Linked DNA regions of Diceros bicornis minor. The protein of the gene in region 3 interacts with the protein of the main gene of each other region in a pairwise test. Links are inferred from orthologs where the notes say so. Each region holds a gene or a part of one and is shown on either strand. Other genes may lie near its edges. The genes, in order: SPARCL1, SMC3, DISC1 and SH3BP5.

Region 1 (8,630 bases), on a different chromosome or scaffold from region 3:
AATAGAGATGACAATGAGGTAATATCTTTGACCATGTTTTTAAATTGAGACCTTTGGAGAATTTAAAAATTATATTAGCATAACCATGCTACTTTTACCTTATGGTTGAGATGGTCTTCTGTGGATACTGCAGTTTCCTTTTCATTTTCTGAATCTTCAACCCTTAAAATGGGGACTGCAGTGTTGTCAGGTGTTACCGACAATTCAGCCTGTTGGATGGAACTCAAGGAATCAGCAGTTGGTTGAGAATGATCAGATAGGAACCTTGCATTTGTCTGAAAAAATTAAAACTAGTTTGTATTATTCATATCTAGATGTTAGTATTTAAATTTCTAGTTACTCTTTTATTGTCATCATTATTCGTAGCAATATACCTCATTTATAATACCAATTAAAAATATTTTCTAGAATTTTAAAAGATACAAGCAAATGTCCAGAATATAATCTTAAGTGAAAACAGAATCCCAGTCATGTTTAAGAAAAGTTATATATGCAGAAACTGGGTGAAAATAGAGCAAAAATGGTATCGAGAATAGTGACCTTTGAGTCTCGGAATTATTTTCTGTGTTTTTCAAACTTTTACAAAGCATTCACACTTTATAATTTTGAAAAATGTTGTTTAGCAGAAAGTTGAAGTCAAATTAAATTAACAGTAAGATATAGCATTGTACGTTTTCTTAAGCTTACTTTTAAGTACTCACAGATAATTAGTAGAAAAAGTTATAAACCTTTTATTTAATATTTGTTTACTTTCTTAACACTATCAGCCCTATATCCACCAAAAAGTCTTCCAATAAAAAACAATTTAATCAAGAACTAATTAAAAAGCTGTGTGAAACAGGGCACCAAGTATAGTAGTGAAGAGCAGCTGTGGAGTATTATTTCTGCTGGATGGATGACTCTGTCTATTTCTAGCAAGACAGATGAAGAGCTGAACAGTGATACGTAATGGAGAAGTTGAACAACTGGGCTTAGAGATGAGAGACCCTCCTTCAAGTCTTGACTCTACTATTTACTATCCATCTGCGGTTTGACAAATTGTTAATCATTCTGTCATTTCTCAAGGTGAAGTGAGCAGAAATATCAAGATAAGGTTATGTACATAAAATATTTTGTGAATTTTAAGGAGTTACCCAAGTGAAAAATTACTATTTCTAGTGGTAATATCCTGCAGTGGTCATAAGATGAACTGTCTGATATCCTAGGCAGGCGTTCACCGTGGATCTTCATGTGAGAGATGCTGTGGACACCCAGGTGTCAGAGAGATCCAGGTGTGAGTATAAAACTCAGATTCGATTTGCATTGACTCCTCTTTACTCCATTAGCAGGTCCTGTAGTGCTGATTGTGCAATATACACAAAGCCATGGAGTACAGGATTTATTTTAGATTCGATTGGCTCTCTTGCTTCTTATTACCTTTTCAACTAAGAGGAGTAATAATATTTGAAAAAATTTCCAAGGAAGCTATTTTTAAGAGGGAAAAGGAGAAAGAATGATGGCCAGTTTAGCAAGTTGCCAGCAGGGGCATCATGAAAGGCAGTGGATGGAGGAGATTTTAGGTTTACAGTGGAGAACTGCTCCCCTCTCCGCTCCCTTCCTCCTCATTCCCTCTCCCCAAAATGGAAGAAATGCACAAAAAACATGGCAGCTCATCTTCTTTCAGAAAATTTTCTGAACATGAAATTCTGTGTTATCATTATGCCCCCTTCTATATTTATAACAACATACCCTCTGGACATCTGTGTGGAATCTCCTAACCACACAGACTCCACTGATTTCTGGAGAATTCAGAGAGGAGGGGAAAATGATACAAGATTTTTAATAGGTAAATTCTATGAGAAGAGTTTTAGCTTTTTAGCATTTGACTGGGTCTGTTTGATAACAACCTGTCCTAAAAAGGAAACATCTGGGATGTGTCTATATGCAGGCGTGTCATTCACACATTTGGTTCTCAGACACTTTGCTGCCTGTTTACATGGCGGCAACAGCTGCACGAGCAAAACACATTTTCAGGAGAAAACAGTGGTTCTGTGGGTGCTCCTTTCTATGCTGAACATCCTTTATCCCACTTTTGTAATTTCAGAGGACAATGTATAATTTCAGTTGGAGTAGCTCCACACTACTTAAGCATGATTCTCCGCGGTGATTGTAAATTCTGTTTTCCAAGAACTGCTTGGTCTGGGTGGCGGGGCGTTTGTGTTTGCTGACACATCTGTCAACCAGAATCTAGCCACCAGCTATCCAAAAAGCAAGGACAGAATCTTAGGCATGGAGAGGGAGTCAGAGAAGGGACAAGAGATACACTGCTTTGTGTGTTTAAAGAGGCTGATTCCTCAGTGTGGTGAGAAAGAAAAAATGGCACAGATCCTTTAGTTTGATTAAGGATGGTACGGATCATTTGGGGAAACATCTAAATGATCATCCAAGCTCTGGTTCTATTTTCTTTCTTTCTTTCTTGCTTTCTTTCCCTTCCTTCCTTCCTTCCTTCCTTCCTTCCTTCCTTCCTTCCTTCCTTCCTTCCTTCCTTCCTTCCTTCCCTCCCTTCCTTCCTTCTTTCATTTCTTTCTTTCTTTCAACATCCAGGTTATTGTGAGGCTGCTGATGTGGTCTCAAACGGTCTGGTTTGTGTACGGCTGATTTATTGCTGTCTGAATGGGAAGGCCAGTATACTTGACCATGAAGAAAAAGTGTTCTAGTCCTGTCTGCTTTCAGCATGTTTGTTTGGACAGACCCTGAAGGATGAGCTAGGAGCTGATTTATGCTTACCGTACCATTTCCTGCCCCCAACCCACCAGTTCCCATTTTTATTACAGACTCAGAATTTCTCAGCCAGACTGTATTTGATCTTGCAGAAAGTGCTGCTGGACTGTGCGGGTGTGCACTCCAAGATTTCTTAAACAAATTTCTTAGAGTTCTTAGACAAATGTGTTGAATTTCCACAGGAGAATCTATTTCTTCCTGTTGTCTTTGGTATTTGGGCATATCCCCTGGCTAATAAACTAATAATCAACACTTTCAGCTGCATATTTACTGCATCTTGTAGAATCTGATGGTTCTGAAAGAAATATTTTTAAAAAATAGCATCTCAACTTTTCTAGTCATCCATTCCCTGCTTGGGCAAAAAAATATTATGATTAAAACAAAAAAGAGAATTTCAAACCACTGTATAAGAACATTTTCATGTAAATGGAGGATTTCTAAACTAAGTGTCGGGAGGTAGAGCTGTAATAACAGAAGCGAGAGTATTTACCGGGATTGCAGCTGCGGTTCCCAAAACGTAGAGGAAGAAAAGCACCGTCTCCATGCTTTCCAGATCTGTGAACCAAGAAGACAATTAGCCGTGGTGGGTAATATTTTCCTCATGAAAGATTAAAAGGTAATCTTCTTCGTAAATGTTGAGCTTGATACCATCCTTTGTATTTAAAGGTGATTGTCATCTTTGGGGACTAACATGTCTGGAAAGACAGATTAATGACAGTTTTTACCCAATTGTGTCCCTGTGAGAATGACTCCTTGATTTTTTGGCCCAGCTGTGTTCAGCAGAGCCTATCTCTGTTTATGACTGTGCTTCCTTGAATAAAGACTCTAAGAAGATCTTGGGTCTTAAGATTTGTGAGTGTTCACAGTGAGGATAAAAGGCACAAGGTGAAGTAACATGATATTTCAACAAATTGCCTCTTTGGTGTGGAGAAACTCGTATATTTAGTGAAGGTTCTTAGGAATGAGACATGGCACTGGCTTTAGGGGCCATCAATGTCCATCTAATTTAGAGGTCTTGCACTGGTGATCTGTGAGTTGGCGGTGGTCTGTAGATGGGTTGGGTTTGGTAGGCACTGTGTATACATTTTAAAATTGCCTCTGCACCGTGCATTTTCTGTTTCCGTATTATTCTTTTTTTTTCCTGGTTGTTGGTTTGGTCTTTGTTTTTCTCTTTGGAAGCTTCTCTGAAATTTCTAATGTCTTTGGTTGTCCAGTAATATTTAATAGTGAGTCACTAAAAAGCCAATTAGAAGTTTCAAGGGCAGGACTTTTCACCTTGGAGAGCTTCCACGGAGGGGCTGAGGCAGGAACCTAACGGTCTTGATGGGGCACCCCAAATGTCATTGTCAGATCTTTCCTTCTGGGGAGACATTTTTTTCCTAGAGAAGTTCTTTGTATCTCCTACCTTGGAGAGGGGAGTATAAGCTTGGTTGCTAGCATTCTGTGAGATGAATGAGTGAAGGGTCTGGAGATCTGTCAGTGCATACACTGACACTCACTTAGTCCCCAGCTTTCTGTACGGCACCACAACCCACCCTCCACTGTGCCTATCTCAAGTCCAGGGCCAGAGAATAACCTTGTCTTTCCTATTTAGGGTGAAATGGGAAGTCCACTGGCTGTGCAGGCATGAGGAAGTGTCTCAAGTATGTTTATCTGATAGGCTTTCAACCAATCCTCCGGATTTTAGCCTCTACCTTCATCTCGCCTTCCAAATTACCTGGTGCCTCCAATACTTGAAACTTTTCTGGGTTCTGCAGTGGGAATTGCCTTCTTTGTCTATGGCACCCTTGGCTGAAAACCCCTAGGCTTCAGCTTTCCCTGTTCTTCCAACTCCTTTCCATCTTCTAAAAATTTGCTGATATCTTTTGTCTTCTTTGTCTCCTCCTTTTTTTTTCTCTGTCATTGTGTGTTTATATCGTTATTTTTCTTTTCCTATCATTATGCTGGAATTTTAGCAGGGAATGGCAATATATGCATATATTTCATTTGTTCCATTTAATCAACAGACGATTTCCATTTCTTCACCTGATTTATATCTCCTTATTTATTACTATTATTATTATTTTTTAGGACACGTAGAAATTACTATAGTCTTTGGTTCTAACTCTATTAGCAAATAAAGGTTATATTGATGAAAAGGAGGCTATAGGTGCCAGCACAGACTTTCTTATCATGTTAGAAACAAGTAAGAACACATTTTCACCTTTATCACTATTCCAACGCCACAGGGTGGGCCACCTGGACTAGGGAACAGTGTGTTGGAAGGATGGAGACTAAAGCTGCACATAGAAGGTGATTCAGGATTGAGTGTAGCGGAAAAACTCAAATCATTTATAACCTTATATAACCTTAAATAAACTAATCTATTCTAATTTTAATGAAAATAACATTTACTCAGCTTGGAGACTTAAATTTAATTCCTCTAAGGGGCCCCTCTGAAAATGGCTGTACAGAACTTACATAGAAATTCAGAGTACTAACAGTGGAATGTGTGTTACATTATTTATATCTTTAAATAAACATTATTTAGAACTAGTAATGGTGTATAAGAGATACCGGAAGTTTATATCATCAAGTGCCTTGGGTTTACCAAACAGATTTACAGATGGGATATTATCTTATTTGATCTTTGCAACAACCCCATGATGTGGCAGATGAAGAACAGGCCTGGAAGGGCTCTGACAGTGCGTGCTCAAGGTCACAGAGCGGTTCAAAAGGGACCTGGGCTTGAACCCAGCTTCCCTGGCTCCTGCTCTGGTGCTTTCCCAGCTCTTTAGCAAATAAAGTTCTCCATTTACCTCTTACACAAAGAAGTAGGGAAGAAGGAAAAAAATCCCAAAACCAGTATTGGGAAAAATTCAGAATTCAGTTCCAATTTTTAAATAAAGAGTTCCAAACATTTTAAGGGTTAAGCTTTTGCATACATGGCTAATACATTTTTCTGTGTTGGGGAAAAAAAGGCATAGAAGGTCAGTTGGGCTATTTGATATCAAAAGACCCTTTCAATAATGCTTTTTATAGTCTAAATGAAAGTGAACATAAGTGAGTTCATCTTGTTACACTCAATGGCCCCAGCCCCTCCTTTGTGTGACTACTCACTGCTCTGCACGTACTCTAAAATAATTTACGGGCCAGCCCCGTGGCTTAGCGGTTAAGTGTGCGCGCTCTGCTGCTGGCGGCCCAGGTTCAGATCCCGGGCGCGCACCGATGCACCGCTTCTCCGGCCATGCTGAGGCGGCGTCCCACATACAGCAACTAGAAGTATGTGCAGCTATGACATACAACTATCTACTGTGGCTTTGGGGGGAAAATAAATAAACAAATAAAATTATAAAATAATTCACATGCTCTCCTGATTTATGGCCTCTGCTTGCGTGTGTACTCCCCTATAGCTTGATAAATTAAAATTTTGTTCTATGAGTTTCTTTCCAGGAACAGGCTGACCACAGATGGGAAACACACCTACAAGATATTCATCATCGCTGACAGAAGAAAGGAACAACAAAAGATTCTGGAGTCCATCATGCCTGAAGGCCGACATTTCTAAATTCCCTCCTTACTGCCCATTTCCCCTATATAACTACCTCAAGATTCTATAATTTTTGAAGTTGGTTTTTTGAAACATTAGTCTGCCATCTTCCTGATTATGCCGGCTAATAGAACCAAAACTTCCTTTCTCGATGTCTAACTCGTTGTGATTGTTTGGCTCAGATTGCGGCGAGCAGAGACAGCCCATTGCTTGGTAATATAAACAAGGCGAAAGTGTAGAAATTCAATTTCCCTTGAATGAAGAACAAGTTGAAATAAAAACATGCAGCCCCCCACCCCCACATCTCTAACACTTCAGTTTTATTGAAAAACACCTTAGAATGAAAAAAGCATTAAACTGTTAGTAGAGCTGGGTTCTGGCTCCAACACTGTCCTTAACTGGCCAAGAAACCGTGTGCAAGTCACTTGTTCTTTCTTAGACACAGTTTTCTTAAGTGACGGACCATGAAGAGGGTGACCTAGATGATCCTCTAGCTCCAATATTTTATAGTTCTAAAATTGGAAATAATTCTATGAATTCCATGAACAACAAACTGCTGCTATTTTTTTTCTTTAAACTACTAAACCCACTAAAAATATACTTTATGATTTTCTTGTATCAAAATAAAATATTTTCTGTATGGTATTTAATGCTTTGAGTAAATAAGTAGAATCTATTTTCCATCTCTATTATTGATGATAATTTAAAATATTTTATTCTCTTAATGAATGCTCATTGTAAAGAGTCATTGAAAAATGTAGTCTCCTTCCTCTATATTTCAGAATTTAACATTCATTCATTCATTCCACCAGTACTTATTAAATTTATGGAACTATAGTCATTCATATTTTAGATCAGCATATTATTTTTATTCTACTGTTTTGGAAAACTGTAAAAATGCAAATTAACATAGTTTAGTGTAGGGTTTCTTTACGTTGGTGCTATTAACATTTTGGGATGGATAATTCTTTGTTGTGGGGACTGTCCTGTGCACTGTAGGATGTTTAGCAGCATCCCTGAATTCTACCCACTAGATATCAGTAGCAAGTCCTCCATCCCCCACCACTTACAAAAACCAAAAATGTCTCCAGACGTTGCCAAGTGTCCCCTGGAGGGCAAAATCATGCTGATTGAGAACTACTGGCTTAGTAGAAGGAAGTTGTGCTTTGGGGTTAGAAAGTCATATATTTGAACTTGGACCAACACTTGCCATCTATGTATCTTTGGCAAGTTACTTAACACTCTGAGTCTCAGATTTCCCATCTAAAAATGAGGATAACATCTGTGAAGCTTAATTATATGTGACAACTTGACTGGGCTTTGGGGTGCCCACATATCTGGTTAAACTTTATTTCTGGGTGTGCCTGTGAGGGTATTTCCAGAAGAGATTAGCATTTGAATCAGTAGACTGCATAAATCAGATTGCCCTTCCCACTGTGGATGGGCTACATTCAATCTGTTGAGGGCCTGAATAGAACAAAAATGTGGAGTAAGGGAGGGTTTGCTTTCTCAGCCTCACTGTTTGAGCTGGGATGCAGGTCTTCTCCTGCCCTTGGACTGGGACACATACCATCAGTGCTCTGGTGCTCAGGCTTTTGGACAAGGACTGGAGAGTTACATAACACCACCATGTTTCCTGGGTCCCCATCTTGTAGACCATGGAGCTTATCAGCATCCATAATTGCATGAGCCAATTCCTCACAATAAATCTCTTTCTCTCTTTCTCTGTTTCTCTGGAGAACCCTGACTAACACAATATCTAATTTGGTTTTGTGAAGATTAGAAGAAATAATACTTGTAAAAATGTCTGATACCTAGGAGGTGTTCAATAAATTTTTATTCTTTCTTCTCTCATCTTCCATAAAAGTCAAATTGTGATTCTTGAATAAACAACTTAGAGCCTCAGAAAATAATATAATTTAAGTTGTGCTGTGAGTTCAGAATAACTTTCCAGTGGAACATTTAGAGTCTGTTTTGCCCACACATTTACCAAAGCTCCCTTTAATGCCAGGAGTCTTTCCTACATTCATCACAAACAACAATGGAATTAGGCTAAGAGACTGTTACTGCATTTTCTTATAAATGGTAACAACATAAAGAGGAAGCAAGAATCAGCAAAAGTGTTGTGGGTTTTAAGACTTATACCCTTTGATTTTAGTTTTTATAGCAATGTGCATAACTAAATAAATTTGAGAAAATATTTCCCTTTAATTTGATGACAGGATCTCACAAATTCCCTTCACTTTTCTTAAATCTAATGCAGCCGAATGAGTTAAGAAGAAACATATGTTCAGTGGGCCATAGCTTGCACCACTCATTCACTCTTATTCATTTATTGAGC
Region 2 (7,850 bases), about 50 Mb from region 3:
AAATCACACAATTGATTTATTTATCTACTTTTAACTTGTAAGTTAAAGAAATAACATATATCTAGTAATTATTCATTTTTCTCCATTTCTAAAGATTTTGATTGATGAAAATCAGAAGGCACTTGCAATCAAAATGTAAGTAAAATCCCAGTACAATCAAGCTACCTTACAGCAAACCACTTCAATTAACAAGTCTTCAGTAGGTATAGCAGGGGGAAAAAGTATGTCTTCTTTACTCCCAACTACAAGGTTGCAGTTGATGTATTAAGGGCAGGTTTTTCCTGCCCTCAATTTTTAAAATTTATCATGTATTACTTTATTTCAAAATAAAGAAAAGTATGATTCTCCCATGTTCTCTGGGAACATCAGCATTCATTCTGATTTCTATATGAATCTCACCTCACCCCATACTATGGACTAAATTGCGTCCTTCTCAAATTCTTATGTTGAGGCCCTAATGCCCAATGTGATGCTTTTTTGGAAATGGGGGTCTTAGGGAGGTAATTAGGATTAGATGAGGCCATGAGGGTGGGGCCTTCATAATGGGATTAGTGCTCTATAAAGAAGAGAGACTCAAACAAAGGAGGTCACGTAAGCATGGAGGCCTCTAGAATGTGACCATGCTGGCATCCTGATCACGGACCTGAGTCTCCAAAACAGTGAGAAAATAACCCTGTTGTTTAAGCCATTCAATCTACATTTTGTTAAGGCAGACTTAGCAGACTAATATACCAATATACTCCGTAAGGAGGACACTGTGTAGCAGAAGTCTAACTATGTCAATAGCACATTCTATGTTTTTCTGGTGTCTAGAAGCACTCATTTCATCTATTCTTTAAAAATTCAGCAGAACATCAGCAAACACTTTCAGTGGCTGTATCAACAAAATGGAATATTATCATCTGAAGAACCTACAGACTAAATACTGTATTGTAGGGTAATCACCATTAGCCCTTTATCCTCACACATTCGCTTTCTCCTTTAATCTTTCCACCAGCCCTATGAGGTAGGTACCATTATTGCCACCTTACAAATGAGAAAACTGAAGCCCCTCAGGGAGTAAAGTTTAAAACAGAATACATGCCAGAACTGGTATTTGAACTGCATTCTGTTATGGTTCCCAAGTTTATGCTCTTCCCAAGCTGCATGGTCTGTCCTTAGACATTATAACTGGAAAAAAAAATCTAAGAGCAATCTAATTTGTGAATAAAGAACGGTCATCTATGAAATAAGGCAATAGCGAGCATTTCAACTAGGAAATGACATATCAAGAACAATAGCTCAAATGCTAAATTTAGTGTCATTCACTATAAACTTAAAGCTATTAAAACACACTACACACAGACAACGCTATCCAAATAAAAATGAGTAACTTAAGATGGTCTTACCCAAGACAATGTATTTTATACATTAAAATACATCTTTTAGGGGCCGGCCCCGTGCGTAGTGGTTAAGTGCGCATGCTCCGCTGCTGGCGGCCTCGGGTTTGAATCCAGGGCACACACTGACACACGGCTTGTCAGGCCATGCTGTGGTGGGGTCCCATATAAAGTAGAGGAAGATGGGCATGAATGTTAGCCCATGGCCAATCTTCCTCAGCAAAAAGAGGAGGATTGGCATGGATGTTAGCTCAGGGCTGATCTTCCTCACAGAAAGAAAAAAAAAAAATACATGTTTTATACAGGTGTATTTTATACATTTTTAAATGTATAAAATAAGCAATTCATCAGTGCAGATAAGACAGAAATTATTTCATATAGAAAAATATACATAAATTTATGTAATATTCAAAGACAACCCTTGTCTCCTTAAACCTAGATATAGGCAGAATTTAAATGGCTGTAGAGATAGAAATGGGATCTACTAAACCATGAACACTTACCAATAACATTATGTTTTGAACTGAAGGGATCTACAATTGTTTGATCTCTGTAACTTCGAAAACCCTGGATAATAACCTAATAAATAAAAGAGGCATTTTTCAGAACACAAAGAAAAAACTTTTTAAACTAACATTTTTCTTTTGCACTTCTTCCCTTTCTTTGTTTCCCATTTAATGCAAGGTAGAAAACTTTCAATTTCATATAAGAAAAACTCATTTTGGAAAGTGGTGATTAAAAATCTTCTAAAAACAGCCCGTTTATCAGTAACCATAGCCAGCGCTGCTTTTTTAGGAGTTATAATTAGTAACCCGTTACGGAACTCTCAAAATCCAGTCCACTGTATGAGGCTGGTTGGAACACTAAACACTGCAGTCCTAGAGTACAAGTCTAGCAAGTAGGCGGACTGGCCCCAGCTTTCCTGCCTCCAGGAGCAGTGGGCGCTCCTTTCAAGCAGACACAAGGGCCGGCCAAAAAGAGGAGACGTTCCAGGATGGAGGAGAGGCCAACATCTCCAACAGAGACTCTTTTCCAAAAGGGTGCGAACGGCTCATCTTGGTGGAGGACTCCAGCGCGGGAAGCCCATTTTGACAAAAGTAAACAACTGAACCAGGAGGCGCTACCCACTCTGCAAGGAGGAGGATCCCTTCCCTTTCCCTTCTCCCGTGAATCCAGGAGATGAAAGGCCGGTTAGGCTGACATCCCAGCCTGTGCCCCCAGGGGCGCCCCCGGGCCGGGGCGACCACCTCTGCACACACCCCGCCCGCCAATGACCCGCGCGGGGCTATCCCCGCAGGACAGCAGCTTCTCGCCCGCCTGGCCGCCACCGTCCCCGACGAGGTCCCCCGCCAGCTCCGGGCCCTCGGCCCGCACGCCGGCCTCTCCCGACCCCAGCCCACCTGCGAAGGCCGGGTCCCTCCAAAGGGCCCGCGCCGCCCGCCGCTCCGCACCCCTCGGAGCTCCTGCGCCCCTCAGACGAGCGCTGTGCGGGGAAGCCCGGGCTGCAGAGGGGCGCCCCAATTCTCAGCAGCCCCCGCGCTCGCGGGGGGGGCCTCTCCCACCCCCTCATCCCCGTGCGGCCCCGAGTCCACCCTCCCTGGAGAGGGGAGAGGCTACGGGTAGCGCCGCAACACCCCCGCCGCAAGGAACGGTCCTCACGGGTGGGAAGGACGCCTAGGCCTCACCTGCTTTATGTACATGGTTCCGCGCCCCTGGCTGGGGAGAAGGCCTTGCCCCCTGACAAACGCAGCAGGGCGGTCAGGCGAGGCGCCAACGCGACCCCTCCCCCAGAGAGCCGCTCGCTCCCCTTCAGCCAAACAAAATGGCGGCGCCCGTGGAGGCGGAGCCCGCGCCTCGGACGGAACCACCCTCGCGGGCCCCACAGAGCGTAGGGGGAGTCAGGGTCGAGTCTGCTCTTCTTTTGGACAAAAGGAGGCTTCTACGGCGTCCTTAGGTGGATTTCATTTGATTCCTTAGTTTGTAGCTGAACCTTGCCTGAGACTTCGTCGGAAGCCTCACTCTGAAAGGCCTCGATTGTGAGGTTGGCCCGTGTTCCCTCCGAGCGCGGAGCCAATGGTTGCGTCCACAAGGGGGGAAAGGTTGGCGCCAAAGCCGAGGGTGAGAGTCGCAGAGCCAGTAGCGGAGCGGGGCGCTGCCCACGTGGTCTCGGGCTTTATAAAAAGGCGGACTCGGCGCGGGAGGCGTCTGTCCCTGACCCCACAGAGTTGAGTGACGGCTGGAGTTCGGTGGTCGGAGTCCTTGCCGCTCCATTATTCTTTCTCGCTCTAGGCACTTTTATATCTTATAAACTTACAATGGCCCCCACTGGCTCCAGACCACCCACTCGCAGGACAGCCCCGAAGGGACTTAACGCTCGAAAATTTGTTTTAATAATGTGATGATTAATAACCCGGGAGCTGTTATTCCTCTTCCCTTTGCCATAAATCTAGGCAGACTTGGACAATGGCAACAAAAAGAGATTTAGATAAGATTAAAGCTCCTTTTTTTTTTTTTTTAAACAACCTGAAAGATATTAGGTGGTAGTGGCAACACTAGGTGTATCTGATCTGTATCAGTTTTAGGGGAAAATTATTTGGTTAGAAATTGGATCCCTGGGTCGCTGTAAAATTATCTGCTGCTCAGCAGCCACTCAAGTCGGTCGGTCCTCGCTGCCCCTCCCGCTGTCGGGGACAGTTCCAGCCCTAATATTTCAAGATTGAACTATCTTTAATAGCCTCCTAACTTCAAACCTGTCAGCACCCCTCGGTGCTGGCAGAGTCCTTTATCAAGCCCCGATCAAATCCTATCCAGCCCTTGGCTTAAAAAATATCTCTTTAAAATAAACATTTCTCCAGTATTAGCGTCTCTACACTGTCAATTTCTAACTGTGGGATTGCAGGCATATATGAATATTTAAAGTTTTAAGCCTCCATTTCCTGGGCTATAAAATGAGGATAAAACCACTTCATGTTTAGAATTAAAAACAGGATGTATAAAATAATCCTATTTACCTAAATTATATAGATATGTAGATGAAAGGATGTTTGTCACAGTGATGAGATTTTTATTCCTTAGACTTTCCATGTTAAATGAATCTTATACAATTAGTTTATATAATTTATTCAGGCAGAAAAAATAAATATGAGTGAAAACTTAAAATATAAAAAGGTGATTTTGAGAATTTAACATACTTGTCTTATTTATATTTGTGTATTTATTGTCTTTTTCTGCTACAACATAAATCCAAGAGAGAAGGGCCTTTATCTTCTTCCTGCTGTTTCTTTAGTAACTTGTTCCTAGAAAGTACTCATAAATACTTATGAATGAAAACTGTAGGAAAGCAAATTACCTACCACAGAGCCTGGCTCATTTATGCCAGCTCTTGGTATTTCAAGGCTCCACATGACCCCATGCTACCCACCTCCCATCCCCATGGCAGCATCATTCTCCCCTGGGAAGCATTTAACAGTACATCACACGGATCTCCTTTAGCAGGGAGGACAGGTTCAACAAACCCATGCACTATCTGGCGGCAAAGGGACATTCCCAAATGAAATCGACTCCATGAAGCAGACAACTACACAATGCCTACTTGCTCATAGTCAAGCAGGTGAGAACTGCAGGCTCTTTTTTTTACATCAAAACATCCCATGAACACCACATAGCATCACCTCCTTCAGTGTTTTTACTTTTCTCCCTCAGCTCCACCTCAGATTGATTCAACATGATCCTCGGACATACTGAAGTGGAAAAAAAACAAAACAAAACAAAAAGAGGCACTAATCATAAATCTCTTTAAGACGAGAATCTCTTAAATACTGAAAGCATAGGCAAACAACAATCATAGTCCCTTATATTTGTGTAGCTTTTTACCAGCTTCACTGTGCTATCACGAGTGTGGTCTCCCTTATGTTTTCCTCACTATGATGTTGTGAGGAACAAGGGTGCTTATTGTTCCATGCTGGACTGGAAACCCAGGGATCTTATGCTGACACCATCTTACTGCATGACCTTAGTTTTCCTGTGTTTAAAATGGGACCACTCTCTGCCCTTCCAGGCAGCAGAGATGCAGACAGAGGTCTGCTTCCACAAAGAGTCCTGCGTGAGTATGCTGAGAGTTGGACTTTGGGAGTCCCATATTACATCCCAGCCCTACCATTTGCTGATTATTTGACCTGGAGAAGAACCTCTTGGAACCTCTGTTTCCTCATCTATAAAATGGAGATTATAATCATACCTACTAAAAATTCTGTGCAGATAAATTAAGATGATTTATGTAAAACAACTCGTACAAGAGATAATGTTAGCTATTTTTGTTCATAGTTTATAACCAAACTCAAATCCAGCAAGTCCCTGGGAAAAGATAACAAACAGCTTATATACATCCCTGGTGTCTAAAATTAGATTGTAATGATGGTTGTACAACTTTTTGAATATAGTAAAAACCACTGAACTGTACACTTTAAGTAGGTGAATTTTATTGTCTGTGAAATATATCTTAAAGCTGAAAAAAAGCCTGAAAAATTTTCAGCTATGAATGTTTAAACCATACCCAGATTTAGACCATGTGCAGATTTATATGATATACAGATTATCTGGGTCATTCTAGAAACATTTCATAAAGGACACCAGTGATGTATATAATTAAAATACATTGTAATTGCAAACATGTTACTAAAATCTCATGTTTACTTTATCTTTACACAAAGCTTTAGTTATTTAGACTAGTGCAGAAATTCAAATTCTGGCATGGAGTCAAGTATGCCGTGTTCCAAATTCCCAATTTTGCCTTCTGTAGTAACTGTATCACTATAAAGTTAAACACAAAGTTACATTTTTTAACAATAAGGTATGATGATAATTTTCCAATTTAATTGATATTTTAAAATGATCTTTTACAATTTCAAAGGTATTTAATAGAAAATCACCAAATTTAGTCTAAGAGTTTTTTTGGGGAAAAAGTCACAAAATGCAAAAATGAGTTATTTACTAAGAAGCAGGAGGTTCACGTCCTCCCCCCACACCTTTTCTAGAACCAGAGTTTTTGCTATAGGCAAGATTTGAAGACCTTAACCTTAGGCCCAATATTCTTTCTAATTCCAATTTCACTTTCTTGATAATGTCCTTTGAAGTATGCAAATTTTAAATTTTAATGTCATCTGATTTATCTATTTTTTTTTTTTTTGGTTGCTTGTGGTTTTGGTGTCATATCTAAGAAATCATTGCCTAACATTTAGTCTAGTTTTTATCATTGGTATCTGTGAAAGGATTTGCCTGACCGCTTCACACTGTCTGGAAAATGCTTCTATCAGAAATCCTCAAGACTCACCCCTTGCTTCATTTAGGCCTTTGCTCAATTGTCAGCTTATGAGGAAGGTCTTCTTTGACCACCCTATCTAAAGTAACACTACCCCTGGGTCACTTACCATGACACTGCTTTGTTTTTCTTTAGAGCATTCCCTATCTGATGTTCTCTCTGCCTCTCTCTCTCTCTCTCTCCCCTTTCCTCTCTTTTTCATTTATTGTATACCCCTGTTCCCACGATGGAATGTATGATCCTGGAAAAAAAGAACTTTTGTTTACTTTGTTAACTGCTGGTTACTCAGTGCCCAGCACAGACTCATGATAGGAGATCAATAATTTTTTAAATTAATGATTCCCCAAATCCTCACCAACACAGTGTTTTTGATCTTTGCCAATCTGAAATGTAGACAATGGTATTTTAATGTCTTTTAATTTAATTTGTATTTCTATGACTAAGGTTTAGCACCTTTTTATCTATTTAAAAATTATCTTTCTTTCTCCGTAAACACCATTGTTTTCAATAGATGCTATAGTAATAAATGAAATGTATACATCCCTTCAAAAGAGTTATAGATGTCATAGTTGCGTTGGCCATTCTGTACTTTATCAAGGTTTAGAATAGTGCCTGTTGAATGAATGAAGAATGAATACCAAGAAGATAACTGCTAGAAGGTGAAGACAGGCTCCATGAAAGTTTTTGATGTTTGAAAGGAGTACTCATAATCAAGGAGGATTCCCTAGGCTAAAAGATGCAGAAGAAATGTTTAGCTTACTTGGCAGCTGCCCATGGATCTTATTTCGGTTTCCCCCATAAGCAGAGCCTGAGATAAGGATTTGGAGGCAAGAAGTGATCCCAGGGAGCAGAAGTGATGGAGTGGGAAGGGAGAGACAAGGAAGAAAGAAAGGTCAATAACATGCAATATTGAAATTTTTACTTGTGTGGGCACCAGGGATCAATCTACTGGGAAACTGCTGAGGACATGTGTAAAACATACCTCAGAACTGTCACACCAGAGGACAGGGAGACTGAGGTATTCATCCACCAATTCCCGTCTCTCATTGATTGAAGGTTGCCCTTGGAGGCTTACCTCCCCCATGCTTGGGAATTGACTCATACTTGGCTGCACAGACTTCCTTAGCCTCAGAGAAAGAAAGAAGGCAGAAAAC
Region 3 (8,086 bases):
GCTTGCTTTGCATGAGAACCCAGCATATAAACTGAATTACTATCATCATTATCAAAAGAATGGTTCTAATTCTAGTCTAATGACCCTAATGTACAAATGCTACTTATTTTTCCTAGAAACTTTGTTCTGTGCTGGTCTTTAGCTCTCAGTATTTAAAGATCACCATTGTACCCCCTCTTTGCTCTGAAACTTTGACCAAAACCACAATAAAATTCAGACATCAACAATTTAATCTCTAATCCTCCAATCAAACGTTTAAGGTTTATTTTTAAATGGAAAAGGCTTAATGAGCATAATAAATTCTGGCTTCTTTTTTTCTAAATTAATGTCTTAATGTTCAAGCAACAAGCAAATATTATTTTTTTCATTTAAAACAATAATAGTTTGCATCCCATTTTTGAAACAGATATAAATTGATGGACATAGCACAGAAATGGATTACAAGAGCAGAGACACCAAGCTATTTGTCTCTATTGACACTCCACTCCCCTTCCTTTTGGCCACTTGCTTTCTGTGGCTCAGGATCACTGTTGTTTTTTTATGTTCTTTTTCTTATTTATAGTTTTCTGTGCTTCCTGTAATGAGCACGCATTGCTTTTGGAAAAAGAAAAAAGAATAAGAGAAATTTCATTTAGGAAACAAATGACTTAGGAATTGTTTCTGCAGCCTGTAGACCTGGCATTCACCCCCCTTCAGGTGCACAGACTTTCTCTGAAGGTCCACGTCCCTCTGAGGTCATCTCAGTGAGCAGTGAGGTCCCTACAGAAATGTCCTGGGTCCCAGCCCTGCAAGGTAACCATGACACCAAAAGCCTCAATCCCAGTTACACCTCTTGTGCCATTCTAAGGTTTCTGGCAAATTTAAGCGTTAAAATAAAATTAATTCCGATTCCATTTAGTCTGAGATTTGCAATGAGTTATTGTAATACGTTCTTTCAAGATTTTAATACCTTTTTTATTGCAAATTTTCATTGTTTATTTTTGCAAGAAAATAATTTAAAATGGGATTTTAAAATAGAGATGAAAGAAATTAAGATTATTTCAAAGTCTCTTCTGCCAGGGCTAACAATTCACTCATATTTTAGAGTCTGTAAACATGCAAGACATTATTAACTGTAATCTAACATTGGTCTACTCTGAACCATGGCTCATCTCCATAACTTCAGTTTGGTCAGCGGTTGAGAACACACTTGTGAGAGGCACCCACACCGGATTTTAATCCTGGCTCTACTCTTAACAGCTATGTGACCTTGGGACAAAAGCAGAGTAACCTTGATTATCAGCTTTGTACAGGGAAAATGAGGATTATAAATATCTACCTCACAAAGGTTTGGGGCGGATTTCATCAGAAGAATTCCTAACAGATGGCCTGACATTGTAAGCTCTCAAAAAATTGCCCCTGTTATTCTTCCCTCCTGGTAGCAGTGACGTCTCATATTAGCCAGTGACTCAGACTCTTCAAGGTGCTTCCAGATTTTTTACCTCATTTGATCCTCAGGCAGCTCTGTCAGTACAAAAAGCCATAATTACCGTCCGCATTTTTCTTTTCTTTTATCTTTTGTGTAAACAGATGAGGAAACCGAGGCTCAGGGTCAAAGCACTCCAGACCGCTTTTTGCTCAGTGACACAGTTCTCAGCTGAACCCCAAAAGACTTTATGTGCCGTACCTGAATGGAATAAAACTAAATTTCTTCTCAAATACTCTGCTATTCATACTTTAATCAAATCAAACTGGTATTTCCACATCTCTCCAAATCATTTAGGTTTTGCTTAGTAAAAATAGCAACTAAGGTTATTTAGAGCTTACTCCACATCTCAGGCCCTGGGCTCAGTGCTTCACAGCCACTGCCACATTTAAACCCCGTAACAACCCTATGAGGTGGGCACTGTCATTGTCCCCATTTAACAAATGGGGAAACTGAGGCATGGCTAAGTCCAAGACTGAGATGCAGGCAGACTATCTCCAAATTCCAACTCTTAGTTCTCTGGTACTACCCAAATTGCATTTGTCCAACTGACAGTTCGGTTGGCAAAATGCCTTCATGCACAACACGTGTGAGACAAGGAGGCGAGGTAATGGGTGCTCTCTCTTACATTTGAGGAAACCAAGGCTCCCAGATGCTAAGCGTTGTGTCTAAAATTACCCGGCCCTCTGGTGGCCCAGCAAGGACGCAACGGCAGCACTCCCTGACTCCAACCCGCATTCTCGTCCGAAAGTCTCAAATGCCTTTGTAGGTATTTTAAGAGTAAGGTGGTAGGACACGTCCTGTCACTCTTGAAAAGCAACCATCAACTTAATGGCTTCGGTGTCAACACTGAGAGTTGACAGCGTGACCCGTGTTCTGGGAAGTGGAAACGGAGCGGTCTCTCCTTAGCCCGGCCGTGGGCGTTGCTGTCGCCAAGTCGGAAGTGGGAGGCGAAATTGTTTGCAGAGCAGCCCCTTGGGCAGGTGCCAGCACCACATTCCTCATCCCACCCCCAGCTCCTCTCTCCGGGTCCCCGACGGGGTGGAACCCGTCTCTCAGCGGGGTCTCGGGACGAGGGCGAGCCGGGCGTCCCCTGTCCCACAGGTGAGCGGGTGAGGGCGCACAGCGACGAGAGGCTCGGCGGCGCCGGGTCCCGGGACTGACCCAAACCCCAGGCAGGCCCTTGCCGCCTTCCTCGGCCACCAAGACCCGCCACGGGGGCGGGTCCTACCAGCGCTGTTTCGAAAACTGCCGCTCGCCGGGATCTCAGTACAGTCGGAGGGGAGAGACCTGGCCCGGCTCGGCGCAGGCGGGCAGCCCCAGACCGGACTCCTCCCCCAACCCCGCACGCCACGCGCCCTGCCTCAGTTTCCCTCACCTCGAAAAGGGTGCACAGAACCCAAGCTGTTAACAGAGGCACACCCAGACCCACACGATTTCCAGGGGGCAGAGCGCGCCCTCCCTGCCCGGATGCCCCCGGCCCCGCCCGCCTGCGGTGACAGCTACCCTACCTGCGCGGTGGCCCCCGCCGCCACCGGCCGGGGCGCCCTGGGGACCCCCGCCCAGCATGCGCCCCGCCGGCTCCTCCCGCTCCGCTTCCGCCGCCTCCAGCTCGTCGGCGGTCAGCAGGCTCGGTGCGCCCGAGGCCCGCGGAGGGGGAAGCGAGGCGCCGAGCCGGACGGGAAGTGGGGAGGGGGCCGGCGAGGAATAGGGAGGCTCCTTCCTTCTCCCCGGCGAGGCGAGCGGTTTCCTTTCCAGCCTCGGCCCCTTATGCACACACATACACACACACACACTCACACACACGCACGCACGCGGCTGGGGCGGGCGGCCCGGCAGGCCCACAGCCCGTCTCCCAGACCTCTGAAAGTTCGCTTTTCACTCTCGCTCATTTGTGGGCGAAAATGAGAGGGGAAGTGCGGTGGGGCGAACGGGAGCGCAGGGAAGGAGAGACGGCGAGGCCACCAGGGGTGGGTCTACGAGGGCGCCTCCCACACGCGTGATTAGGGAAGTGACCAAAGGGTTGGTGAGGAGACGGAGGGGATGAAAGGGTGAGGAGAAAGCGGGGAGACGACAGATGACGCTGGGAAAGAGATGAATGGGAGCAGTTGTTCAAAAATGAAATGTGAATCCAACTTTTTGAATCTTCAGGCAGCACTGGACTGGTCCCAGAGCCCCCTCCCCATCTTGGACGCAAGCTGTGATCCGTGCGGAGCTCCTAGGCTACTGACTCACCTCCTTCACTTCTTCTCTTTGGCTCATTCAGGAAGGCTACTGGAGCACCCCCTTAGGTAGCACCTGCCAGAAATGGTTCTTGCCCTTAAGGAGCTCGCCTCCAGTCGGGAAGATAAACAGATGCATATAAAACTAAATAGCAACATATGGTAGGATATGCCAAGAGCCAGAGTCTTGGCACAAGAGTCTTGGCACGGAAAGTGTTGCAGAAGTTCCAGGGTAAGAGGGAGTCTTGTGAAGAGTCAGGGAGACCTTCTGGAGGAGTGGGCAGGATGTCACTAGAACTAGAGGAGGGCCAAGGTCCTTCAAAAGATAAGAATCTTGGGAGTGAAAACGCACTCCCAAGTCGTTGTGTTGTGGACAGAATGAATATGAGAATGGATATTAAGGATGTGTGGAAGATGGAAGGAGCATAAAGCTGGATCTGGCTGAGTTTAATGATATATACCACTAAGAGAACTGGATTCAAAGCTGTAGTTTGAGAGATTAGAAAAGGCTCTAACAGTTTGGTTCTAGATTGAAACATGGACCAAGAGCTGTCCTACACTGGAAATGCGAGAACTGCCTTGCTATACTGCTAAGGAAGTACCCAAAGGCTTAGGGGGATTGGAATATCAGAGTGGATTTATCATGTAAGACCTGCTTTCCACTCCAGGAGGGTTCAGAGGACACACCTTTCACTGTGACTCAGAAATAACCTTGTGACCCAGCATCCTTGGTCACTCTTCTCTCTGTCAGACATTACAATGGGAACTGCAGCCACTGAACTAGGATCCTTGAATGCAACGGGGATAATTGGATTATAGTTGACAGGGGTCAAATGGTGGCAATGAATCACCCAAGGCAAGGTGGGCATGATTTCTGTAATGGACAACAGAGTCAAAGCACAATCAGAATAGTCTGACTCCCACAGACCTACAGTGTCGGTGTCGGCAAGTTGATCATGGCGTTCCTAGAAGTGAAATAGATGGGAGGCCTACTAAATTCTTATTTGATCTGTATAAGCAGAAAAGTTCTAGGTCAAGTGAACAAAAGCCTAACTTGAATTACCAGAACAGAGAGACTCAGCCCTTCGATCAACTGGCAGACTTGAGGCAGTTTACCAACCCAGAACTTCTTGAATGAAGGAGGAAAGACCCTACAACACTGCCCAAAATGTATACTGTTACTCTTTCTTCTAGCCCTCCCCAAGGGGACATATGGCCTCTTACCAGGGTGACTGTGCATTGGAAAAAGGAAATAATCAGACTTTTCAGGAATTACTGGACACCGGCTCTGAACTGACACTAATTCCAGGAGACCTAAAACATCACTATGGTCTACCAGGCAGAGTAGGGGCTTATGGAGGTCAAGTGATCAACAGAGTTTTAGCTCAGTTCCCTCTCACAGTGGGTTCCTGCACCCATCCTGTGGTTATTTCTCTAGTTCTGGAATGCATAATTGGAATAGACATACTCAGCAACTGGCAGAATCCCCACATTGGTTTTCTGACCTGTGAAGTGAGGGCTATTATGGTCGGAAAGGCCAAGTGGAAGCCACTACAACTGCCTCCACCTAGGAAAAGAGTTAACCAAAAGCAATTCTGCATGCGAAGACAGATAAAAAAGATTAATGCCACCATCAAGGACTTGAAAGATGCAGGGGTGGTGATACCCACCACTTCCCCATTCAGCGTGTCCATGTGGCCTGTGCAGAAAACAGATGGATTTGGAGAATGACAGTGGATTATCATAAACTTAACCAGATGGTGATTCCAGCTGCAGCTGCTACACCGGATGTAGTTCCATTGTTTGAGCCAATTAACACATCTCCTAGTACCTAGTATGCAGCTGTTGATCTGTGAATGTTTTTTCTTCATATCTGTTAGTAAAGACCACCAGAAGCAGCATTCTTTCAGCTGGCAAGACCAGCAATACACCTTCACTGTCCTACCTCAGGGATATATCAACCCTACCTCATAATTCAGTCAAGCAGGGACCTTATTGCCTTTCCTTTCTGACACTGGTCCATTACATTGGTGACGTTATGCTGGTTGGACCTAGTGAGTATGAAGTAGTAACTACTCTAGGCTTATTGGTGAGACACTTGCATGTCAGAGAGTGGAAAATAAATCTGACAAAAATTCAGAGGCCTTCCATCAGTGGATTTTCTAGAGGTCCAGTGGTGTGAGACATCCCTTCTAAGGTGAAGGATAAGTTGTATTTGGCCCTTTCTATAACCCAAAAAACAGGCTCAACACCTAATGGTCCTCATTGGGTTTTAGAAGCAACATATTTCTCATTTGGGTGTGCTTGCTACTCAAGCCCATTTACCAAATGACCTAAAAAGTCGCTAGTTTTGAGTAGGCCCAGAACAAAAAAGGCTCTCTGCAACAGGTCCAGGCTGCCATGCAAGCTTCTCTGCCACTTCTCTGCCATAAGATCCGGCCAATCCAATGGTACCTGAAGTGTCAGTGGTGATAGAGATGCTGATGGAGGCTTTGTCAGGCCCCTATAGTTGAATCACATCACAGATTCTTAAGATTTTGGAGCAAAGTCCTGCCATCCTCTGTGGATAACTAATCTCGTTTTGAGAAACAGCTGTTGAGTTACTACTGGGCCTTAGTGGAGACTGAGCTCTTATCCATGGGCCATCAGGTTACCCTGCAACCTGAACTGTCCATCATGAACTGGGTGTTGTCTGACCCACAAGCCGCAAAGTTGGGCGAACATAGCAGTGCTCCATCAAATGAAAGTAGTATATATGAGACTGGTCTGCCTGAGCAGACCCTAAAGGCACAAGTAAGTTACATGAGGAAGTGACCCAAATGCCCATGGTCCCCACTCCTGCTACATCACCTTCTCTCTCCCAGCCTGCAGCTATGGCCTCATAGGGAGTTCCCTACGATCAGTTGACTGAGGAAGAGAAAACTCAGGCCTAGTTTACAGATGTTCCTGCACAATGTTCAGGCACCATCCAAGAGTAGACAGCCATAGCACTACAGCTCCTTTCTGGGACATTCCTGAAAGACAGCAGTGAAGGAAAATCCTCCCAGTGGACAGAACTTTGAGTAGCGAACCTTGTTTTTCAGTTTGCTTGAAAGGAGAAATGGCCAGAGGTACAAGTGTATGACAATTCGGGGACTGTGGCCAATGGTTTGGCTGGATAGTCAAGAATTTGAAAGGAACATGATTGGAAAATTGGTGGCAAGGAGATCTGAGGAAGAGGTATGTGGAGAGACCTCTCTGAACGGGCAAAAAACTTGAAGATATTTGTGTCCCATGTGATTGTTCACCAAAGGGTGACCTCAGCAGAGGAGGATTTTAATCATCAAGTGGATAGGATAACCCATTCTATGGATACCAGTCAATCTCTTGCCCCAGCCACTCCTGACATTGCCCAATGGGCTCATGAACAAAGTGGCCATGGTGGCAGGGATGCAAGTTATGCATGGGCTCAGCAACATAGACTTCCACTCACCAAGGCCAATCTGACTATGGCCACTGCTGAGTGTCCAATCTTGCAACAGCAGAGACCAAAAATATGGCACCATTCCCCAGGGTAATCAGCCAGTTTGCTACTTGATGGTAGGTTGATTACATTGAACCACTTCCATCATGGAAGGGGCAGCACTTTGTTTTTACTGGAATTGACACACTGAATACATATTTCCCATCCCTGCACACAATGCTCTGCCAAAACTACTATCTGTGGGAGAGAGGAAGTCAACATGGCGGCGTAGGCAGACTCTGAACACACCTCCTCCTGCAGACACAGCCAATTTACAACTACTCGTGGAAAAATTACCCCTGAGACAGAACTGAAAACTGGATAAGAGGAACTCCTGCAACAACGGACAATCCTAACTGAGGTGGAAGAGGCAGACACTCCCTTCAGGAGAGGAAAAATGCCGCCTTCACAAGCCACAGAGCCTCACGGCCACCCGGGAGCAGCCCAAAGGTCCGCAGCCCTCCCTGGAGGCGCAGGGCCCTGAGCAGGGGAACGCCCCCGCTGTGGGCATTTTGTGGACCCAGCACAATCGAGACGAGTAGCATAATATCTGACTTTGCCTGCTACTAAAACATTGGGGAGCACCCCCAGAAAAGCTGGTTCACAAAGAAACTAAAACCCGCTCTTAAAGGGCCCACGCGCAAACGCACCCGTTTCAGAAAGCAACCTAAAATCACCAGAAAGAAAGGTGCACAGTGCTTTGGTGAAAAGAGACTGACCTAATAGGCCCTGTGTGCGTCTCGGTGAGAGGTGAGACCTCTCCAGGGACTGGGACATTGGCGGCGGCCATTGTTGTGGCCTGGTGTGGGCGAGCTGACACAGAAACCATTGGAGTTCTCCCTGAGGCCTGCTAGCCCAGGGTCTGCCCCACCCGCCAGAGCACCGATTTAATCCAGC
Region 4 (7,525 bases), on a different chromosome or scaffold from region 3:
TGTGACCAGATGGAAGGAGATAAAGCTTGTAAAAATACTTTGTAAACTCTAAATCCCTATAGAAATGATAGGGTTTTTGCTGTTGCTGTTCAATGTATTAGAAATCTGAGATTCTGAGAGATTTCAGTTGCCCAACAGAAAGACTTGATTTATCATAAGTGAAAAAAATTTCAATAAACACACAGATTTCACTTCAGTTGGGAAGAAGGGCAGCCAGTGTTCATGGATACCTACAGTCAGAATAGATGGGTTAGCATAACCCTTCATACACAGCCCGGAGCAGCAAGCTTTTAATCCCCATCGCCACTTCCAGATTTGGTACCTCCAGGGCCTAGCCATGCAGTCAGAAATCAAGGCTGCCATTGTATTGATGATAGATTATATTCCTATCTCCCACACTCCAGGGACCAGATGTTTCCTGCCCTTCCTGTTCACCTTCCCTACCATTTCTTCTGCTACAGAAACAGGTCCTCCCAACAGCTCCCTGCATTCCTTCAGCTCTCTGACAGAGTTATTCACAGGCTCTCAGATATATGCAGGGTTTGTTCATATTTGCTGATGGGGTAAAACCAACCACCACTGAAAAGGGATGGGGACTAATTGGTGGCTGTGAAGAATGCTAATCTGTTTACACTCAGGTTGAAAGATGCTCATGAAATTCAAATCAACTTCTAGTCTCCCAAGATTTTTCCCAGCAGGAAAGCTCTTCGCAGTCTAAACAGCTTTTCCTTACCATTAAGATAATTATATTCCACACACAAGCAGACACTAAAGAAATGAGCAGGGAAGTGGAAAGGGGTGAATTATTAGTGCAGGAAAGGTAAAAAAAAAAAAAAAAAAAAAAAAAAGGAACTGCCCTAAAATATTTAAGAGATTTTTATGAGCTCATTCATTCTTCTCCACTAAAGAGTTCAGCTAATTTTCCCCCCAGTCCATCCAGCTTTTCCACAGACGCGTTAACTTTAGGGCTTCCGTGAGTGTAAAGCTCTTGGTTTTGGCCCCACAGAGCTTCCATGATGAAAAACAACATGTGAAATTGGATCCACATGTGTTCCACCCACAAGCTGGGCTCAGTGGTGTATTTTATTCTGTCAGACAGCAGGCTGTTGCTCAACTCCGAGGAGGGGACGCCAGCTATTAAAACAAAATTAACCAGCCTGGTGTCAGCGGGACTGCACCACCTCACCAACAACAGGGACCCAGCTTTCTGTACCTCAAGTTCAGTCTCCCGTCGGTTGATGTCATCCGTGGATTGATTTAACTTCTCCAGTTCTCCCTAAGGAAGAAAAGACAGAAAAAAAGATTTAAGGGCTTCATCTTTTGTTTCCGGTATGACTCAGCCCATTACCTGGAGAATTACTCCAGGACAATTTGTAGGAAGAGGGAGGACTCAGATAATTCTCAAGGAAAATAGTTAAGCCTTGGCTAGAAGAGCAAAGGAATGGCAGCATATCTGGAGCCTTTTTCTTGATGGTGTCCCTTTTGAAAATGTCTTAAGGTCCTAGGAACTTGTCTTCTCTTAAACGGGCAAATATTTATTCCAGGTATGTGCCTTCAGGTAAACCCACCTGTTACAAATGGTGTAGGGGCCAAATCAAAACAGTACCTTCTGCCATAGAGCAAGAATTTGCAGAAAAGACAATGATAGAAAATAAACAAGGCCAACCCAAAAGTATAAACCTAATGAAATGATTTAGTCAAGGACAGAATTCTGGCATTGATTCATCAGCAGTTGAGTATTTTTCTGTACAGATGAAAATCTTTTCAAACTGCCTATTATTCAACCTACCTAGCTGGTTTTTTTTTTTAATAAAAAAATTAGCTTTAATCCTGATCTTTTAAATAAACATGTACAAACTGACCTTTGTAAAAAGTACCCGCATGAAGTTAACTCATTTTATTCTACAAACAAAGGGTCTTGTTAACAGAATTCCTGTACCAAGAAAACAAGATTTAGTAGTCCAAACTGATTATTTTAAATAGAATTCCTAATGCAAAGATTTTTCCACCTGATCTTTATCTTGCTAATCTGCCAAAACAATGCATTTAAACAGCAACAGCTGAATTAAATGAGCTTTTAATTGACCTGTGCACTGAAAAACCAATTAGGGCTCCAGAAATTGCAGAGCATGCTTAAAAGCAATATTTAAAAAAAAAAAAAAAGATTTATGGAAAGGGTAGAAAAATGAGTCTTGGAAAGGGGATTTGCTGTGCTTTCTGCTTCGAGGGTGAAGAGGTTAAACTGTCACTCCTAGATCTCGGCTTGGAAATTGTTTTTTAATCATCTACCTTAGAAATGGAGGCACAGAAAGCCAGGCCAATCCCCTCGCCTTCTCCCCGCATCAGCTCTGCGCATCAGTTGCCCCTGATTTCTGTTCACACCCGGCCTCCTAACAAGGAAAAGCTGGGCTTTAAAGCATCTGAGGCCAAGCGGAGGGTTGAGCCAGTGGTGACAATAAACCCTTCAGTTTGCTAACAATGAATCAGAGGAGGAGGAATATGGTTCGGGCCGGGCACCTCCGCCAGGTGGGGACTCCAAACCCAGGGCACCGGTGCCAGCCCACGCTGCAGGGGCGGACAACGCCCACCCTGCCCAGCTCGCCCACCCGCCCACGGAGTCGGGCGCCCACCCTGGCCGGCCCACCCCTCCTCCCGGGGCCAGGCAGCCGTGCAATGCCTGCGGCGCCGCGAGCCTAGCCGGGGGTACCCCGATACCCACATGGCGCCCCCGCCCCCTTTTTCCCTTTGTTGCACATCCGCCCGAAACGCTGGGCACGCTGCGGCGACCCCCGGATCCTGCCAGGGGTCTGCGAGGGGGAGCCCCACAATAGAGTCAGGCCGCATCCACGCGGGCACTGCAGCCTCCCCATGAACCAGGTGAAACGGAGTATTTAGACGCTCTCTTCTCGCCCCCAGACCTACGTGGCCACCACCTCCCCGGAACGCAGGCACTGGGGGCTGCGGGACAGGTATAAGTGTAGATGCCGGGATCCGGGGCGCCCCCCGCGCGCCCTACCTGGATCCGGGGGTCCACTTCTTCCTCTTCCAGCCCCTGCTCCATCCCCTCTTCCTCCTCCTCCTCCAAGTCCCGGGCAGACGGCAGGAGCTCAGCCGGCTCCTCCGAGCGGCCCCGCTTCAGCGCCGCGTCCATGCGGGCAGCCGGAATGCGAACCGCGCGGGGGACTTCGGAGCGTCCGGAGGGGCAGCGACTCGCCGCAGGCTCGGCCGGAGCTGTCTCGCCACAGCCCGGCACGGTCGGGAGCCGCCGGGGCCGACACCCGGGAGGCGCCGCTCGCCGATGCGGATCCGTCCGGCGCGGGCGGAGCGGAGGAAATGGGCGCGGCCGCCCCCTTTCTGCCGCGGCTGTCAGCGCAGCGGCGCCCGCTCCGCCCTCGTCCCGCCGGGCCGCCCTCCGCGCGCCTCCGACTGTTCCTCGGCAGGTCCCAGTTACCCAGGCCTCCGTCACAAAAACCCCAGCCCTCTGAAATCCTCTAGCGTGGGGAAATAGGAGAGCCCTCACCCCTTCTTAGCAGCCCGAATATCACAAACCACCCAACATTGGCCACCTACTCTCCCGGCAGCTTTCTCCCTCCCTCCTCGGCCCAGGCGAATTGACTGTATGGAAGGAAAGTTTGGGGTATTTCCAGTCTCTGAAATCACCTTTAGAAGCCTGTACTCAGTGACCCTGGGCCAGTTTCAAGACTCCTCAAACCCCTGTATACACCCAAAGCACGTTTCTCCCCTTGGTTGAATCTTGGGAATTCTATCTATGTACTTGAAGATTTCCCCAGAAAAGGCAACTGTAACGTGCTCACATTGACATAAAGTACAGAAAGGGGAGCCAGCTGCAGCTCCAGGCGCGGATTCTTTGTCCAAAGTTTGTGACCCGCGCTGGGCAGAGCTCCACACCCAAACAGCTGTGCGTTAGTGTTGTGGCATGGTCCTACCTGAATAGCCAGGAAGCATGGAAAATCCATTGATCAGGGATGTGGGTGGGTGGGTGGGTACAGTCTTTTCAAGGAGGGGCTAAGTGTTACCTCTGTTAATGGGTACACCCTGTCCAAGGATTTATGAACTGGTGAGGTTTCCTGCCCACCCTGAGTAAGTAGGGAGGCAGAGCTTGCCTGGCAAACTCGACATCACTAAAGTGCAAAGAACGAAGGGGCATGTCTGTGCTGTTATGAAATGTCATGGCCACTGTGATGTCAGGGGAGCACAAGGTCAGATGACCTTAGCAAAGCAGGCAAGGACATTGCCACTGGCCACTGCTAATGTCTCCTTCACTACAAAAATGCAGAAAGCGTACACATCTACACAGAGGCTTACGGCCGATTGGCTCTGTGAGTTTGGAGGACAAACTTGCTTGAGAAAGGAGCTTCTTTCTGAGATCCCATCGTTAAGCCACCTTGAAAACCTGCTTCTGATGGTTTTATCAGAAGCTAATTTAGAGGGTTACTCCTTGGGTAAGGTACCACCCTATATATGCTGGCACTGTGGTCCACCATCAAAAGAGATTCATCCTGTCTCCTGGACATAATATAGGTGTATGCTATACGTTTGTTTTGGAAAGTTCAAACCTCTTCATTGTTCTTTAAGGAAGAGTCAGCAATTCTTGGAGAGATGTTCTGAAGTTCCTTGCTAAAGACTGTTGCTTTTGATTTTCTACTGATGGATGAAGGCCAGGACAAGATGGTCACTAGGGTCACTTTGGGACACAAGAGTCACCATTGTTTCCCTGGTGGCTGGGAATTGAGCCTATAACTGAGCAGGTTCATCCTAGCTGTGAATCCACTGAGACTGAGCTGGAAAACCAGAAATGTGAGGTCAGCCCTGACTCTCAATGCTTCTCAGCTGGTGGAACCCCAGCCTCACCATTCTAAACAACTGCCTCTAAAACACATTTCTATTTAAACTTAGATCTAAGCGCAATAGAGTGGTTCAAAACGCCTTCATGGGACACAGGGAAACTGCTCTAGAACTTGAGTTCAGATTTTAGTTGTCTTATTTTTAGGAGACCTGGCCAGCTATAGTGTTGATCCCAATAGTGATCTGAAGTTAAAATAAGGAAAATAAACAAACCACAGCAATACGATATATTTTCTATTGGTACATATATATGCACATAAATGCCTAGAAAAAGGTCTGGAAGAAGGACTTCAGACCCAACAAAGAGTACTACCCCTGGGAAAGGGGGGTAGGGAGGGGCCCAGGATTGGCTAGGATGGTCAGAGGAAACTTCTAATCTCTCAATAATGTTTTCATTTTTTACAAGGAGGATATATTTATAATTATTTGTATAATTTAAGAATAAATTTAAAATAATACATACTGTATGAGTTTTTTATTGCTGTGTAACAAATTACCACAAATTTAGCAGCTTAAAACAACACATTATCTCATAGTTCTCTAGGTCTGAGGTTCAGGCACGGCATGACTAGGTTCTGGGCTCAGGGTCCCCCAGGCTGAATCAGGGTGTCGGCCAGACAGCATTCATTTCTGGAGGCTCTGAGGAAAAAGTCCTTCCAAGCTCATTCAGGTTATCAGCTGAATTCAGTTCCTTGTGGTTGTAGGACTGAGGTGCCCGTTTCCTTGCTGACTGTCAGCCAAGGGCCAGTCTCAGCTGCTGGAGGCTGCCTGCATTCCTTGTCACGTGGCCCCCTCCATTTTCAAAGGCAGCAACAGAGATCTCACTTGTGTTGAATCCCTGTTACACTTCAGTCTCTTCTTCAAGAAGAGCTCAGTCCCTTTTAAGTGTTCACTTGATTAGGTCAGGTCCACCCAGAAAAGTCTCCCATTCTTAAAGTCAGCTGTGCCACATACATAACCTAATCGTGGACATGACTATCTCAACTATTCACAAGTTCCTACAATTATACAGGAGTATATACACCGGATGGTGGGAAATGGGCCAATCTTAGAATTCTGCCTACTGCACATACTAAGAAGGCAAGCCGTGTTAAGTGGCTTGTAAGCCAGATACATGCTTAATATTTATTTTAGCTGGCATGTTGATCTGGAGCAGCAGCTCTAAAGGTCTGGGGTGGCGACCCCTGCAGGTCTCTAACTGGCTGCACCAGCTTGCACTCCCACCAGCAGTGTATGAGAGTTCCCTTCTCTCCACATCCTCTCCAACACTTGTTATTTCTTGTTAATTACAGTCATTCTGAGGGGTGTGAGGTGATATCTCATTGTAGTTTTGATTTGCATTTCCCTAATAATTAGTGATGTAGAACATCTTTTCATGTGCCTGTTGGCCATCTGTGTATCTTCTTTGGAAAAATGTCCTCATATCCTCTGCCCATTTTTTGGTGTTGAGTTGTATGAGTTCTTTATATATTTTGGAAATTAACCTCTCTTCAGATATATGATTTGCAAATATTTTCTCCCAGTTGGTAGGTTGTCTTTTCGTTTTGTTCATGGTTTCCTTTGCTGTGCAGAAGCTTTTTAGTCTGATGTAGTCCCATTTGTTTATTTTTTCTTTTATTTCCCATGCCTGAGTAGACATGGTATTCAAAAAGCCACCGCTAAGACCGATGTCAAAGAGTCTACTGCCTATGTTTTCTTCTAGGAGTTTTATGGTGTCAGGTCTTACATTCAAGTCTTTAATCCATTTTGAGCTCCTCAGCTCTTTTTGTGAATAGAGAAACTTGTCTTTTTGCCCCACCCTGATGAACCCCCCAGAGTGGAGGAATGAGAGGAAGTGAGGCGACGTGCTGATGTCACAGCGCTTGACTGAGTTTAGGGCAGAAGGAGGGAGAGTGCTGGCCATCAACCAGGTGAAGGGAGCAGCATTTTCCCTCCTGGCAACTGAAAAGGGCCATGTTACACTCGGCAGGAACACGGAAGTCATCCCACTGTTCTGCCTGCAGGGCCAGGATGGGTTAAAGAGAAGCTGACACTGGGCCTTGAATAACAAACACAACTTCCTCAAACAAGGGAGGAAGGTTTTTGCCAAAGAAAGAAAGAGCTTCCCAGATAGGGGAAAAAACAGGAGGAAATCATGGAGGGGTTCGTGGAACCCCTCATGGACCACAAAACCGATGAACCATGGTTCATGGAACCAATCATGGACTGGTCAGGAACAGCAAGGCGGGACATCATCCGGACTTGGGACCCAGGAAGGGACGGTGGGGAGTGGAAGGAGCAGGGCATGAAGCCTAAAGTATAGTTTGGGGCAGGTCCTCAAGGGCCTTGAATGCCAGGCTAAAAACTTTGGACTACAGACTGTAGAAAATGAGATGCCATTCATTCATCCAACAAATATTTATTGAGCAGTTAACATGATTTGGACACTATACGAGAAGTCAGGGGTACCACTACGAACAAAAGACACAAACTCCCTGCCATCAGGGAGCTTACATTCTAGTAGAAGGAGAGAGGGAATGAACGAATCAATGTATAATACGTCAGGGTGATCAGTGCTAAGGGCAAAAACGAAGCAGGGAACGGAGAGAGAGACGAGGTGTGGTTATGGCAAAGGCCTCCCCGAGAAGGGCACTTTGAGCCAAGACCTGAAAGAAATGAG

The links.
Region 1: the proteins of DISC1 (region 3) and SPARCL1 interact in a two-hybrid assay, tested with the Homo sapiens proteins (2 studies listed by BioGRID and IntAct). The link is inferred for Diceros bicornis minor from reciprocal best matches to the Homo sapiens genes DISC1 and SPARCL1.
Region 2: the proteins of DISC1 (region 3) and SMC3 interact in a two-hybrid assay, tested with the Homo sapiens proteins (2 studies listed by BioGRID and IntAct). The link is inferred for Diceros bicornis minor from reciprocal best matches to the Homo sapiens genes DISC1 and SMC3.
Region 4: the proteins of DISC1 (region 3) and SH3BP5 interact in a two-hybrid assay, tested with the Homo sapiens proteins (2 studies listed by BioGRID and IntAct). The link is inferred for Diceros bicornis minor from reciprocal best matches to the Homo sapiens genes DISC1 and SH3BP5.

What each region holds. Positions count from the first base shown.
Region 1 is NC_080747.1:71,569,116-71,577,745, forward strand, and holds the start of SPARCL1 (SPARC-like protein 1), read right to left. Parts: upstream 3,305-8,630; coding exon 3,251-3,304; intron 276-3,250; coding exon 99-275; intron 1-98.
Region 2 is NC_080745.1:74,336,461-74,344,310, reverse strand, and holds the start of SMC3 (structural maintenance of chromosomes protein 3), read right to left. Parts: upstream 3,171-7,850; 5' UTR 3,080-3,170; coding exon 3,065-3,079; intron 1,959-3,064; coding exon 1,883-1,958; intron 1-1,882. UniProt on the Homo sapiens protein: Central component of cohesin, a complex required for chromosome cohesion during the cell cycle. The cohesin complex may form a large proteinaceous ring within which sister chromatids can be trapped.
Region 3 is NC_080745.1:24,572,301-24,580,386, forward strand, and holds the start of DISC1 (disrupted in schizophrenia 1 protein), read right to left. Parts: upstream 3,304-8,086; 5' UTR 3,248-3,303; coding exon 2,977-3,247; intron 1-2,976. UniProt on the Homo sapiens protein: Involved in the regulation of multiple aspects of embryonic and adult neurogenesis. Required for neural progenitor proliferation in the ventrical/subventrical zone during embryonic brain development and in the adult dentate gyrus of the hippocampus.
Region 4 is NC_080741.1:21,849,686-21,857,210, forward strand, and holds the start of SH3BP5 (SH3 domain-binding protein 5), read right to left. Parts: upstream 3,274-7,525; 5' UTR 3,152-3,273; coding exon 3,017-3,151; intron 1,277-3,016; coding exon 1,214-1,276; intron 1-1,213. UniProt on the Homo sapiens protein: Functions as a guanine nucleotide exchange factor (GEF) with specificity for RAB11A and RAB25. Inhibits the auto- and transphosphorylation activity of BTK. Plays a negative regulatory role in BTK-related cytoplasmic signaling in B-cells.